Ovis aries: one gene and its partners. Each later gene encodes a partner of the first gene's protein in a complex. Links are inferred from orthologs where the notes say so. Each region holds a gene or a part of one and is shown on either strand. Other genes may lie near its edges.

Evidence for each region. The genes of interacting proteins can lie anywhere in the genome.
Region 2: the proteins of NTRK2 (region 1) and FRS2 are in contact, whole or in part, in an NMR structure (PDB 2MFQ), measured with the Homo sapiens proteins. The link is inferred for Ovis aries from reciprocal best matches to the Homo sapiens genes NTRK2 and FRS2. Residues at the interface, in NP_001018074.1 of Homo sapiens: Pro498, Asp499, Val501, Ile503, Gly504, Met505, Thr506, Lys507, Ile508, Pro509, Val510, Ile511, Glu512, Asn513, Pro514, Gln515, Tyr516, Gly518, Ile519; in NP_001036020.1 of Homo sapiens: Val26, Asp27, Asp28, Asp29, Gly30, Tyr59, Leu60, Cys61, Leu62, Arg63, Arg64, Tyr65, Gly66, Tyr67, Asp68, Ser69, Asn70, Leu71, Phe72, Ser73, Gly77, Arg78, Ile86, Ala88, Lys90, Phe98, Gln102, Met105, Gln106, Ser109.
Region 3: the proteins of NTRK2 (region 1) and NTF4 are in contact, whole or in part, in a crystal structure (PDB 1HCF), measured with the Homo sapiens proteins. The link is inferred for Ovis aries from reciprocal best matches to the Homo sapiens genes NTRK2 and NTF4. Residues at the interface, in NP_001018074.1 of Homo sapiens: Phe291, Glu293, Thr296, Ser297, Asp298, His299, Cys302, Pro304, Thr306, His335, Val336, His343, Gly344, Cys345, Asn350, Thr352, His353, Met379, Gly380, Trp381, Pro382, Gly383; in NP_001382418.1 of Homo sapiens: Gly81, Val82, Ser83, Glu84, Thr85, Ala86, Ser89, Arg90, Arg91, Gly92, Glu93, Leu94, Ala95, Asp98, Ala99, Ser101, Gly102, Trp103, Thr105, Tyr135, Phe137.

Annotation. Positions count from the first base shown.
Region 1 is NC_056055.1:34,669,152-34,673,467, reverse strand, and holds part of NTRK2 (BDNF/NT-3 growth factors receptor), read left to right. Parts: intron 1-2,455; coding exon 2,456-2,614; intron 2,615-3,499; coding exon 3,500-3,685; 3' UTR 3,686-4,316. UniProt on the Homo sapiens protein: Receptor tyrosine kinase involved in the development and the maturation of the central and the peripheral nervous systems through regulation of neuron survival, proliferation, migration, differentiation, and synapse formation and plasticity.
Region 2 is NC_056056.1:150,335,232-150,340,143, reverse strand, and holds the start of FRS2 (fibroblast growth factor receptor substrate 2), read left to right. Parts: upstream 1-1,859; 5' UTR 1,860-2,207; intron 2,208-4,912. UniProt on the Homo sapiens protein: Adapter protein that links activated FGR and NGF receptors to downstream signaling pathways.
Region 3 is NC_056067.1:55,321,102-55,326,011, reverse strand, and holds NTF4 (neurotrophin-4), read left to right. Parts: upstream 1-1,857; 5' UTR 1,858-1,916; intron 1,917-2,986; 5' UTR 2,987-3,110; intron 3,111-3,705; 5' UTR 3,706-3,717; coding exon 3,718-4,350; 3' UTR 4,351-4,653; downstream 4,654-4,910. UniProt on the Homo sapiens protein: Target-derived survival factor for peripheral sensory sympathetic neurons. May promote ameloblast differentiation and subsequent reduction in proliferation of ameloblasts.

The sequences.
Region 1 (4,316 bases):
CGTTATCACTTACAAGCATGTCCAGGCAGCTCCATGAGGGAAATCAGTGGTCATTTAACAGCGACTGCAGAATGAGGAAAAAGTGATGAAATTGAAATCTGATGTTTTTTTTTTTTTTTTTTACAAGTCTTTGTCTGCTTTTATTTCTTGTCAGTTAATATTTAGGTGTGGAATAGCTGGATCATACAGAAAGTGTTTAACTTTTTTTTTTTTTTTAATTTTTACCTGGTTTGATTTTTTTTTTTTAGTTTTTTATTTTTTAAATTTTAAAATCTTTAATTCTTACATGCATTCCCAAACATGAACCCCCCTCCCACCTCCCTCCCCATAACATCTTTCTGGGTCATCCCCATGCACCAGCCCCAAGCATGCTAGGCAACAAGCCCACACTTAGCACCTGAACTTTTGATGCATTGAAATCCTGAAGAGTAAAACTATAGGGGCACCTTAATCCTGTGCCAGCAAGTTATGTCTCCACTTGTCAGACTCTTTGTACAGAGAATGTGTGATTTTTTTCACATGTGTGCTTTTTGGCTAATAAGAGCATCATTTAAAATTACCAAACAAATTAGAAATCTCTGACACTCTCCGCTCCTTGGACTTCAGAGTGGAGCAGCATTTTTTTAGGCACTTTTAGTCCATTTTCTTCCCTTAATGCGTCAGAAATGAGAATTGTTGTTGTTGCTTGGTCATGACAGACTCTTTTTGACCCCATGGACTGCAGCACTTCAAGCCTCCCTGTCCTTTACTATCTCCTGGAATTTGCTCAAAGTCATGCCACCCAACCATCTCATCCTCTGCTGTCCCCTTCTCCTTCCACCTTCAGTCTTTCCCAACATCAGGATCTTTTCCAGCGAGTCGACTCTTCACATCAGGTGGCCAAAGTATTGGAGCTTCAGCTTCAGCATCAGTCCTTCCAATGAATATTCAGGGTTGATTTCCTTTAGGATTGACTGGTTTGATCTCCTTGCTGTCCAAGGGACACTGAGAATTGTAACTGGGCAGAAACTCTATGTGGCATTGGTCTCGGAACTCAGGGGCTGGCAGTTGTCAGGGAAGTCTAATTCCTGAAGTCCTATGAACTCAACCACTGCCCCAATGTCAGCTTGGCATTTGGGCAGGTAGTGCTGGGGTTCACCAGCATGAAAAGTGGGACCTGCCACCCACAGGGCTATGGTGCATAAATCTGATCTCAATTCAAAAATCAGAAAGCCTTGATGGGCTACAAACCTATACATGGAATTCTTACTTTTTCTCCAGGAAGTAGGAAATGATAAATCTCTTTGGTCAAAGTTTTCTTCACCTGTGCTAATGCTGTTGCTGTGTAATGCCTCAGCCGTGGCGTTTTTACTAAAACGGGCTTTTCAAAACCCATACTTGTCTTTGAGTTTAAGCTTGCACTCCTCACTGCACTGCAGGCCGATAATCGAGATATGAGTCGCTGGGGCAAGGAATAACTGCTTTATTCAGAAGGACAGCAGACCAAGAAGATGGCAGGCTCATGCCCCAAAGACCCATCTTGCCTGTGTTAGAATTCAGACTTTTTTATACTAAGAGGGGAAGGGATAAGTCAAGCATTTCCTGGTTCCCATCTGCCTCTAGAGGGGTGTGTTAAATTCTCCCTCCCAGCAGTGGAGGAAGGGCCTGGTCAGGATGTTTCCTGTGAATTAAACAAACATATTTTAGCTGAATGCTAATAGCTGTGGAGCAGGATTCCCAGAGATGGGGCATTACGTATAATTTAAGCTTATACTCAGCATCCCTTTAGTGATTAACTTGTAATAGAATACAAAATGTTCTTCCCTATTACATACTTACCAATTTACTTTTGTAAATCACTTCAGTTGAAGTGCTATAGTAAAGTCTTGAGCTCAAAGACCTGATTTCTTTGTGTCCATAGCAACTTGAACCTCAGTTGCCTCATCTGTAAAATGGGAATAGTCATTTCTGCCCTGACCATTGCTGGGTTGTGACAAGGATGTTCAAGACAGCTCTGTGTGATCTCCTGACAGTTTAAGGAAGCATAAGGAAGCTGTGGCTTTGCTAAGGAAACAGAGTCCTTTGGTGGGTCATTTTGGATCCTGAACCCTCATTATCTGGGCCAAAGTTATCTTGTTAGGTAGACAATCAAGTCATTCTCATACCAGAAAGTATGTGCGTTTGTGTTTTATACATGACTATCCACCCAATCACCATCTCTGCTCCTATATAGTTTTGGGAAAGAGAATTGCAAACAGTATGAGAAAAAATCCTTTGACCACACTTTGCCCTCTGTCTCTGTTGCTTGAGATGATAAACAAATTGCATTTCCCTTATGCCTTATAAACAGTTAAAATTAATAAATACAAATAAAGGGAAAAAATGCACCCCGTCTCCCTTCCACACTTTTTCCCCTGATGATGGGAACTTGGTTTCCAGGTGACTGATGCCGTCCTGCTTACCCCTTTTCTGCCAGGTCGGTGGCCACACAATGCTGCCCATTCGCTGGATGCCCCCAGAGAGCATCATGTATAGGAAGTTCACCACCGAAAGTGACGTCTGGAGCCTGGGGGTCGTGTTGTGGGAGATCTTCACGTACGGGAAACAGCCCTGGTACCAGCTGTCGAACAACGAGGTGCGTGTGTGGTGAGCAGCATCAGGATGCCTGGAGGGCTGACACTGAGAGATACCCCTGGGCTGGAAGCCAGGAAATGCTCTCCTGTGGCGTCCCTGTGGCTTTGTTGGGAGCAGCACCTCCCCATGGCCTGCCATGTACCTAAGTATCATGGTCATTCTCCAAACGTAAGAGTTCTGGAAAGAGAAAAGCAGAGCATTTGCTGATGTGCCTGTGATTCTCTGGTGCGGGGATCCAGGAGTCATTTCGTGCTGTTCATCTAGGAAATTGATAGCAGATGTGGCATTTTGGCACCCTGAGAGTCCAGCTAGCTCTTTTGGTATTATTCCAAGAAGCTTTCAAGCTTCTCTCCTTTTTTGCACATTTCACTGGTACATTACTTCTAGTGAAAAACTCAGGCATTTTGTTTTTCTTTTCTAATCCTTTTGCAATTATGTCTATATTTAAACATTACTTCTTGATCAGGCACCTCACTTCTCCAGGTCCAAGTCTGTCTTTTTTCCAATTCCATGATCCAAAATGACTGCTCATTTCTGTACCCTATGATTCCCTGGCACAAAAGTGACCCTGGTTCCATCTCAGGCCAGTACAACTGAAACCCATTGGAATTCCAGGGTGTGGTTTAGGAAGATTCCATCTAGATAAATTATTTCTCCGCCACTTTGATGAAATCAGTGTGACTTGAAAAATGGATATGAACCCATCAAATTAACCATGATATGCAAACCTAGAACAATTGCTTTCTTCCTTCTGAAAAAAGAGAAAGAAAGAAAGAAAAACACTGAGTGGGTTTCTTTAAAGCAACCCTCTCTCTGTACTGACATTATTGCATCCACATTGATTTTCCTCTAGTCTGATCCTGTCTCTGTGCTCCATTCCATCTAGGTGATAGAATGCATCACTCAGGGCCGAGTCCTGCAGCGACCTCGAACATGCCCCCAGGAAGTCTACGAGCTGATGCTGGGGTGCTGGCAGCGAGAGCCCCATATGAGGAAGAACATCAAGGGCATCCACACCCTCCTTCAGAACTTGGCCAAGGCATCTCCAGTCTACCTGGATATTCTAGGGTAGGGCCCATTCCCCCAGACCAGTCCTTCTGAAAGCACTTCCTCAGTTGGGCCGAGAGGATGAACGTCTTTTAACTGCCGCTCGATGCCATCAATCCGCTGTTCTTTGCTCTGACAGTATTAACAACAAAGACACTGAGAAGCTTTCCGAGGGAAGCGACGTGTACTTCTCCACCTGTAGACACAGTATGGACTTCTTTTTAGCATTCTCTTTCTCTCTTTCCATCTCCCTTCATTTATTCTCTAGTTTCCACCCCCCCTTTATTTTTTGTCTTCCTTGCTTTACAACCCCTACCTTTTCTTTTTTAATCAATCTGGCTTCTGCATTACTATTAACTCTGCATAGACAAAGGCCTTAACAAACCTAATTTGTTATATCAGCAGACACTCCAGTTTGCCCACCACAACTAACAATGCCTTGTTGTATTCCTGCCTTTGATGTGGATGAAAAAAAGGGAAAACAAATATTTGACTTAAACTTTGTCACTTTTGCTGTACAGACACCGAGAGTTTCTATGGATTCACTTCTATTTATTTATTATTATTACTGTTCTTATTGTTTTGGGATGGCTTAAGCCTGTGTATGAAAAAGGAAAACTTGTGTTCAATTTGGGAAGCCTTTATCTATGGGAGAT
Region 2 (4,912 bases), on another chromosome or scaffold:
TAGAAAGAAGAACTTCAGTGAGGTTAATGGCCTTAGGAAGCTTTAAGAGAGAAAACTCTTACCTCTAAGGAGAGCAGAAAGGATTTTTTTCCCTGAGATAATGAAAAGAAGGTGAATATAAAACAGGAATAGAAAATTCAAGGGAATTAAACAAGGTAATTAAGAGTGATCAGTAGGCAAAACCATTCACTAAGAGGCTGTCAGATTGGGGAATCCAATGAGTGAGAAAATGAGAAGAGGGAGCCTGAGCCAGTGATTGAGGAAAGCAAGCCTCAGAGAACGTATCAGGTAAATAAAAGGATTTCAAAGGTGTAACCCCATAACAGCCGCATTTCCCCCAAACACTGTGAATTGATTGGATGCCAGTAAGAAGGAAATTCTAAAATGCAAAGGAGGGATTTGAGTTCAAATGCTAAAAGAAAGATGATTTCCATTTTTCTTTTAGTATATAAATCCTAGTGAAACCTTTCAGAGAATAATAATGTGGAGGGGGTTAGAATTGTGAAGAGACTGTGGACTGGAAAAAGAAGAAGGAAAATGAGAAGTCGGGAAAACTTTGGATGAACAAAGCAAGGGTAGAATGACTGTGAACATCAGACTATTAAATTTTTACTTTTGAAACTACATTTGTAAACTTGGATAATAACTATGCATAAGTGGTATTTGGTTGCAATAAAAACTACAAAGTCAGTTACATATTTGTCTTGTGTGGTGAGATGAAGAGTCAGGCCAGGAGTCAGACAACATAATGTTGTGTCTGGTCTTTGACACTGACCATCTCTATGCTCTAGTCATCTCATCTGTCTGTGTCAGCTTCTACATCTGTAAAGTGGGCAGAATGCCAGTTATGCCTATTTCAGATGAACTTGCACAAATCGGATTTGAGTATACATGAAAACACTTTGTATGCTGTTAAATGCTATGAAGCATAAGATAAGTACAGACTTTTTCTGTGCTTTCTACCAGCTCACAAAGACGTTTCTTTCTCTTTGTCATTGTTCAATCACTCAGTCACATCCAACTCTTTGTAACCCCATGGACTGCAACATGCCAGACTTCCCTGTCCTTCACTATCTCTTGGAGTTTGCTCAAACTCATGTCCATTCAGTCGATGGTGCCATCCAACTATCTCGCCCTCTCTTGCCCCCTTCTTCTCCTGCCCTCAATCTTTCCCAGCATTTCAGGGTCTTTTCCAATGAGTCGGCTCTTCACATCAGGTGGCCAAAGTATTGGAGCTTCAGTTCAGCCTCAGTCCTTCCAATGAATATTCAGGACTGATTTCCATTACGATTGACTGGTTTGCTTTCCTTGCTGTCCAAGGGACTCTCGAGAGTCTTCTCCAGCACCACAGTTCGAAAGCATCACCCAACCATCCAGCAGGATGATTCCACTCCTCATGTTGGACTTGTCGCATCATTCCACCCACTACCTACAACTGATTGGATCAGGATTGAACACCGAATCCTAGATGGACCCATTAGATTCTCTCTTCTGAGAATTTAGAATTGGGACCAAGATTATCCAATTAGAAATGGTCATCTGAACAGAAATATCAACTCTGGAGTACTAGGTTGGCCATAGGCTGCCTGCTGAGAGTATGGAGAAGTAGAGAGTCTTTCTCTTGTCTAGAGAGAGAATAAGGCTGATAGGAAGGGAGAAACTGTGATGAGAAGGCACAGGTTAATACTTCTGATAGCTGCACAGCTCTGGGATCTTCCTGCTGAGGCCTGACTATTTTATTGCTTCTGTAAAACACTCCTGTGTCCTACAGATAAAATCCTTTTTTTTTTTTAACATATTATGGCTCAAGCATTTTTCTGTAATTTGCAACTAAAGAATCTTAGCTAAAGCAACACAGTGGATTTAATAGCTTCCCCCTCCAAAAAACATCATACCTACCCAGAACTTCAGAACGTGTCCTTATACGGAAATAGGATCTTTGAAGATATAATTAATTAAGATGAGGTTTTTGGGCTAGATAATAGTGGTGACTGGGGTTTTCATGAGAATACAATAGGACACAAGAAATATACACAGAGAAATCCATGTTGAAATGACGGCGGGCAGAGGCTAGAGTTACGCTGCCACAGGCCAAGGAATGCCTGAGATCACCAAAAGTTTGAAGAAACAGAAATTCTTCCTGAGATCCTTCAAAGGGAGTATAGTCCTGCTGATACCTTGATTTCAGACTTCTGGCCTCCAGAACGGTGAGAGAATAAATGTTTTTTCTAATTTATTTGTTTTTTAATTGAAGGATAATTGCTTTACAGAATTCTGTTGTTCTCTGTCAAACCTCGACATGAGGGAACTCAAACAGGGGTCTGTATCAACCTAGAGGGGTGGGATGGGGAGGGAGATGGGAGGGAAGTTCAAGAGGGAGGGGACATATGTATACCTATGGCTGATTCATGTCGAGAATAAATTCATGTTGGTTTAAAGCCACTCAGTTTATGCTGCTTTTTACAGCAGTCCCAGAAAACTGGTACAAGTATTATAGGATGGGATGTTCAAGCTCTGTTATAGAAAGGTCCAGGCTCTACACTAAGAAGAAACCCTTGAATCTCGTAAGTGCCTTTTAAGCCCACAGCCCCTTTCTGAGAAATAGGCCATTTGCAGTTTGTTCTGCATAAAGCTGTTCTATTTCTTGCCAGGTGAAACAAACCCTACTACTCCGGCTACACTTGGTTGGAGCCAAAGTCCCATGGGAATGGGCTAGCCAGAAGGAGGCCAAAAAGAGCTTGGTGTCACTGTGTATTGGACAGTGACAAATGGACTCAACCAGGAAACGTAAATACTAAATGAACAGTAGGCAACAATCCAATCCATGCTGAGCCTTTGTTTTATTTCTCCATGAGCCTATAGATCATCCCTGTCTGGGAAGCTCTGTGACCAGGAATGGCTGCCCCGGTGACAGGGGGCTCCTCATGCTGCTCTATGAGTCCCAGCTCTAAACCTCCATCATCAGAGACCATTCGGGCATGCTTCCTGTTTCAACCTGTCTTAGTCTGCTCAGGCTGCCATGACAAAAAGCTATAGACTATGATCTCAACATCAAAAATTTATCTCTCACAATTCTGGAGGCTGGGAAAGCCAAGATCAAGGTGTGGACCCATTAAATTCCTAATGAGGGCCCTCTTCCTGGCTTGCACATGACCACCTCCTTTGCTCTGTTCTCACAAAGACTTTCTTTGGTGGGTGCACACAGAAAGAGAGAGAGAGTTCTATCCTTCTTTTTTTCTTTTTAAAATTTTATTTATTTATCTTTGGCTGTGCTGGGTCTTCGTTGCTGCACAGGCTTTTTTCTAGTTGTGGTAAGTGAGGGCTACCCCCTAGTTGTGGTGCCCGGGATTCTCACTGAGGTGGCCTCTCTTGTTGCAGAGCAAAGGCTCTAGAGCAAGGCTTAGTCGCTGTGCACACCCTTAGCTGCTCTGTGGCATGTAGGATTCTCCCCTATCAGGGATCAAACCTGTGTCCCCTGCATTGGCAGGCAGATTCTTTACCACTGAGCCAGCAGGGAAGCCCCTCTATCCCTCTCATTATGCTGCTGTTTTTTAGTTACTAAGTCGTGTCTGACTCTTTGTGACCCCATGAACCCCATGTGACCCCACTAGGCTCCTCTGTCCATGGCATTTCTCAGACAAGAATACTGGAGTGGGTTGTCATTTCCTTCTCCAGGGGATCTTCCCTGGAGAATCTTCCCAACCCAGAGATGGAACGTTTCCTGCATTGGCAGGTGGATTCTTTACCACTGAGCCACCTGGGAAGCCCTCTTCTTATAAGACCACCAATTCTGTTAGATTAGGACCCCAACCTATGACCTCATTTAACCTTAATTATCTCCTAAAAGCCCTATCTCCAAGTATAATCACATGGGAGCCTAGGGCTTCAACATATGGATGGCAATAAAGACTAAGCCTACAGTACTCAAGAATGAATATGATGATCACGAAGATTTAATATTCATTTTGGGGGATGGGAGTGCAAATTAAAAATTTGTCCCCAATTTTGCCACTATTTCTCCTCCTTCACTCCTTGGTGATGTCACATAAAATCCCCAGTTCCCTGAGGTCTCCCTTTCAGAATGTCTGCTGGAGAGCATGTTTCATGGTATTGGCCCAGTCCTGCTAGAAGGCAAAAATGTGTTCTTGAAGTATACACACAGAGTCACTGATTTTTCTCCTTATTGTTTTGTTAGAGTCTTTTTACCAAACAGCTGGTTCATTCTTGACTCCAATGCAAAAGTTACACTGAAAGACAATCTAGGATTATTTCTGTCACCTTGCCAAGTCACAAAGTGCTTCTAAATTATAAATTATTATACATACATGTATATGTACATATACACATTTAAGAATATATATTTATATTATACATATATTTATAGATATATTTTATGTGTATTACACACACACATATATGTATGTCAATTATACTTCCTATGTATCTGATATTGTACTAAGTGATTTACATATTTCAACAGATTTTATCCTTACAACAATTTCAGGCTGTATTACTATTTTATAGTCCAGAAAATAAAAGCACAAAGAGGTTAAATAAGTTTCCTAGGCCCATACGGCTGCTACTAATGCTAGGACTTGACCCACACAGACTGGTTTCAGAGTTCATGCCCTTAACTACTATACTTTGCAGCCAAATTGATAAGCCATAGTCTCAGCTATAAGAAACTGCTAGTGTATTTATTGGGGCAAATGATGAGCAAGAGGCATAGGAAGATTGGAATCAAAACATTATTACAGAAAACATTATTTTGAATGAACCATCTCTCAGCCTACTATTTCTATATAGACTCTGATGGCCATATAGTAACTGCCAATCCCAGAAGTAAACACAACTTGCCTTGGAATAAGATGATATCAGTGAAGGGCTCTGTGTGTTAACTGTATCTGTTTCT
Region 3 (4,910 bases), on another chromosome or scaffold:
GTCTGCAGCTAACAAATTCAGTTTGGAAACCCCCGATTTACTCCAACCACCTTTTTACACAGAGAGATAGAAGAAGGTACAGATTGTGGGAAGCGTTTGATAAAGGTCGAAAATAATGTAACCTTTAAATAATTTAACACTTCTCTCTGAAAGGGAGGGAAAGGCACGTTTGGAGACAGAAATGGAGACAGACACAACCCCCCCCCCACACACACACACACACACATCGCAGTGACACACACAAGACAGAGTCTGGGAGGCAGGCACAGAGCCCAGCACAGGGACCCAAAGAGGACAAGACATATGAACAGTGGACAGAGACACCCAAGGGGAGAAGGGAGAGGAGGAGAGAAGAGGGCAGCGCCCTGGGAGAGGGTAAGAGACAAGGAGAGGGGGCAAAGACCCAGAGAAGGGGGCAGAGATCCAGAGGAGAGGGACAGGGGACACAGATGGGACAGGGACCCAGACAGAGGGAGATAGAGACCCGGAAAGTCTCTATCTCACCCCTACTACCCCATAGGAGAATGGAAGTTCCATAGACTTCTTCTGGTAGGGGGTGGGGCAGGTAGGATACTTAGGGATGGGGGAAGCCTGGAGAGGTCTGGGAAGTGACTCCAGTGGACGCTTCTGTGGGCAGGGCCCCTCCCCCATCCCAATAAACAACCGCAGCCACCTTGGCCCGGGATGGGGAGCAGAGAGGGGAACACCCTAATCCGGGGACACCCTTCCTGCCACCTTGCCATGCTATATTTAGGCTGACGGAGGGGTATGGGATGACCCCTGCCCACCCCACCCACCAAGGCGAGTGTCAGTTTTCCTTCTGAAAATAGCTCCAGGGGAGGGGTGAAGCAGTTAAGTCTGTCCCGGGGACTCTCAGCTCCTGTCTGAGTCTCCATCTGTCTTGAGGTCTCTCTTCCTCTGGGCTTCTCTCCCCTTCCTCAATGTGTCTGTCCCCTCTCCTGGTCTCTGCCTTCTCTCTGGGTGGGTATCTCCCTCTTTCTCTAGGAGTCTGTTCCCTTTTCTTCTCCCCATCTCCCTTCATCTGTCACTATTCACTTTCTCCAGGCAGGTCATTCTGTTCCCAAACCATATCTTTGTCTCCGAGTCCTAGAATACCTTGAATTTCTCTTATCTGAAACTCAGGACAAGACCCTCTCCCCAGTCCCCACCCAGGAAATTCCAGCAGAGAGGACTTATGTGGGAGAGACCCCCGCATCTACCGTCTCCCCGGGGCCTCGGGGCCTTATCACTCCGCGAGCCCAGCTGGTTAATGTCTGGCCTGGAGCTCCTGGGAGACTCGGAGATGAGAGCAGAGGGTGGGAATCTGCCCGGGGATTGACACTAAACTGGCTAGAGAACGCAAAGGAATCTCAGGCCCAGACTCCTGGGTCTGCGGAGGAGGGGGCTTGGGGTCTGGACTCCTGGGTCTGAAGGAGGAGGGGGCTTGGGGTCTGGACTCCTGGGTCTGCGGGGGGAGGGGGCTGGAGCTGAGGAAGAAGGACTGGGTTGGGGGGAGTCCTAAGGAGGAGGAAGCTTGGGGGCCCAAACTCCCGGCGTCTGCGGGAGGAGGGGCTGGGGGTCCGGACTCCCGTGTCCGCGGGGAGGAGGGGGCTGCGGACCCGGACTCCCGAGTTTGAAGGGAGGGAGGTGGGGGCTGGCGCCTGGCCTCCTGGGACTGAGGCGGGCTGAGCGAGCCAGGCCGGGCTTCCGAGGTCTCGGCACGCGTGTGGAAGGCGGGATCCCCCGGCCCCTCCTCCGCCGTCGGGCGCCGCCCCGCCCCCGCCCCCGACCCGGGCCCTCCGGGGCGTGTGCAGCGAGGAGCCGGCGGGCGAGCGGGCGTCCCTACAGCCAGCGAGCAGGAGGAGGAGCCGCCGCCGCGCCGGAGACGGCCGGGGGAGCCGAGGAGGGCGCCCCAGGTAAGCGCCTCCGCGCCTCCTCCCCCGGGATTCCGGCGTCCGGGTCGCCCGGCCCCCGGGTAGGGAGGGACGGGGGCGGGGCCGGCAGGGGCGGGGCTTGGCGGAGGAAACTGAGGCAGGAGGGAAGCGTCTGAGACGGACAGTCCGCGACCCCCGGAGCGGTCTCAGGAGTCCCGACCCCCAGGCTTAAACTTCCCGGGAGAGGAGGGGCCGGGGAGCCCGCGCTTCTGAGTGCCTGGGAAGGATGGGCTTGGACCCCAGAACTCTCGGGTCTGAAGGAGGACGGCACTGGGAGTCCGGACTTCTGGGTCGGAGGGAGGAGGGGTTTGGGGCGCCTGACTCCTGCATCTGCGGGCCGGAGCTGGTGACCTGGGTTCCTGAAGGAGGAGAGAGCTGGGGAGCGGGGCTTTGGGGTCTGAGCGAGGAGGGAGCAGGAGCCTGGACTCCTGCAAAGGATGGGGTGGGGGAGGTGGGCCGCCGGCCCCCACGACTCCAGGTCTGACGGAGAAGGCACCTGGGAACCAGGACTCCTGGTCTGAGGGAGGAAGCAGCTGGGAACTCACGCTCCCGGCTCTGGTTGGGTCAGCATGTACTCCTCTTCACACTTTCCCCTTCTCGTTTCCCTATCTCCCAGCCAGGGCAGGCAGCCACTCCAGGTATGTGCAGTAGAAGTCTTGGACGGGCCCTGGCCTGTCCTGTGAGCGGAGAACATTCCAGGAAGCAGCCAGGGGGACCCAGGGCTTCTTAAGTGTGGGCCCTCGGGGACCTGGGTGTCCAGGCCAGCCCCGCCCCCGCCCCATCTGTGAGATGAATGGGCCGAGGAGGATGTAATCTTTTCCAGCCTCCTTCATCCTCAGCCTCTCCCCTCCCCTCCCCTCCCCTCTCCTCCCCCCATCTGCTTTCCATCCAGGAGCTATCACCTGGGCAGAGCAGGGGCCTCTGGGAGGGGCTGCAGCCTTGACTCTCGGTCCCCTACACTTTCAGAGGAACACTGAGAAGCGGAGTGTTCAGGGGTTCAGGCCCCCTCCCCCACCTGCCTCTCTAACCTGCCTGTTCCCTTCTTCCCCTAGGTGGTTGCCCCCTCCCTCTCCTGAGATGTCACGAAGGAGGGGGCCACCTGTGTCCCCAACAGGGGCCCCCCGGAGCCTGGGGGCCCCCAGCCCCGGAGCTCGGAGGTGGAGGAGGTGCTGACAGGTCCGGTAACCACCCACTGCTTCTCAGTCCTTTCCCAGAACCCACAGGCTTCCAGAATGTTCTAGAGAAACTTCAGCATCTATGCCCCCACCAGCATCTCCCAGCCCTGGCCCAATTTCATGGATAGGGAAACCGAAGCCTCACCTGGGAGGAAGTGTCTTACCTTCTTACAGGCAGTTTTAAGCTGAACTTGGGTCTCCCTGGAATTCCAGGGCATGACTGTTCTCAGAAATTTTGGAACTTCAAGCCTCATCCAGGCTGCAGGACTTAGGGTTCCTTGGGGTTATGGAGGCAAAATGGCAGAGTGGAGTTGCTGGGACATGTTTGGAGTCCCACCTCTGGCATTTGCTGGCTGTGTGACCTGGTACAAGTTACTAACCTCTCTGAGCCTGTATTTCCCCCTTTATTGGCTATTATTACTAAAGAAGAATAATTATGATTAATCTAGAGGTTGGGCATTATCAAAGTCCTAAAATATAGGGGTCCTCCAAGCTTCTAGAACCTGTGGTTCTGTCATGCAGATGTCCCTGGAGTTGCCATGTGTCCCCCCACGAAGTTATCATCCTAATTCTAGCTTCCCTCTGTCTATCCTTAGGTGTTCAGCGAGATGCTCCCCCACCCCTCAGGCTCCCTCCCCATCCTCCTGCTTTTCCTCCTCCCCAGTGTCCCGATGGAGCCCCACCCCCCACCCTCACCCCTGCCCCCATTTCCAGCCCCTGAGTGGGACCTCTTGTCCCCCCGGGTGGCCCTGTCCAGGGGTACCCCCACGGGGCCCCCTCTGCTCTTTCTGCTGGAGTCTGGGGCCTTTGGGGAGCCAGCCAGCAGCCCAGCTAACCGCAGTCGGCGAGGGGTGAGCGAGACAGCACCAGCCAGTCGCCGTGGAGAGCTGGCCGTGTGTGATGCAGTCAGCGGCTGGGTGACAGACCGCCGGACTGCTGTGGACCTGCGTGGGCGCGAGGTGGAGGTGCTGGGCGAGGTGCCTGCAGCTGGCGGCAGTCCCCTGCGCCAGTACTTCTTTGAAACCCGCTGCAAGGCTGCCAGTGCTGGGGAAGGTGGCCCTGGTGGGGGTGGAGGAGGCTGCCGGGGTGTGGACCGGAGGCACTGGGTGTCTGAGTGTAAGGCCAAGCAGTCCTATGTGCGGGCATTGACGACTGATGCCCAGGGCCGTGTGGGCTGGCGATGGATTCGAATTGACACCGCCTGTGTCTGCACGCTCCTCAGCCGGACTGGCCGGGCCTGAGACCCAGGCCCAGGAACTGGGCAGGTAGAGGAAGAAGGAACTGGATGCTGAAGGACCTCAGGAGTAGCCTGGTTGCTCTAGGCCTCAGTCTGGGAACTTGTCAAATGGTCACACAAAATCACAATGCTCCGGTTTTGAGAGCTCATTCTGGGAAAGACAGATGATGAAACCAAATGGGGTTTTGAAGGATGAATAGGAGTTCTCCTGGATGAACTTGAGGGTAAAACGAAGATGATGATGATGATAGCCAATATTTCCTGAGTGCCTACTGTTTATGAACTCTAATACAACTTGTCAGATCAACTCTGGTGGATTTGACCATTGGAGTTCCTCAGCTTCTAAGCTGCTGACCATGTGATCTCAAAGGACATCACTTTGCTCATCCTGAAGAGAGTGACAAGGAGGGGATACTTAGGGGGGATTATAAAACTGGGGGGATTATAAAAACTGGAATAAGTAGGCAACTAGTTGGGAGCTGGGGTTCAAATAAGAAACCTTATTTGGTCAGAGGGGGCAAATGCTTAGAATGCTCTGTTTTGAGGTAGTGAGCTACCTATGAC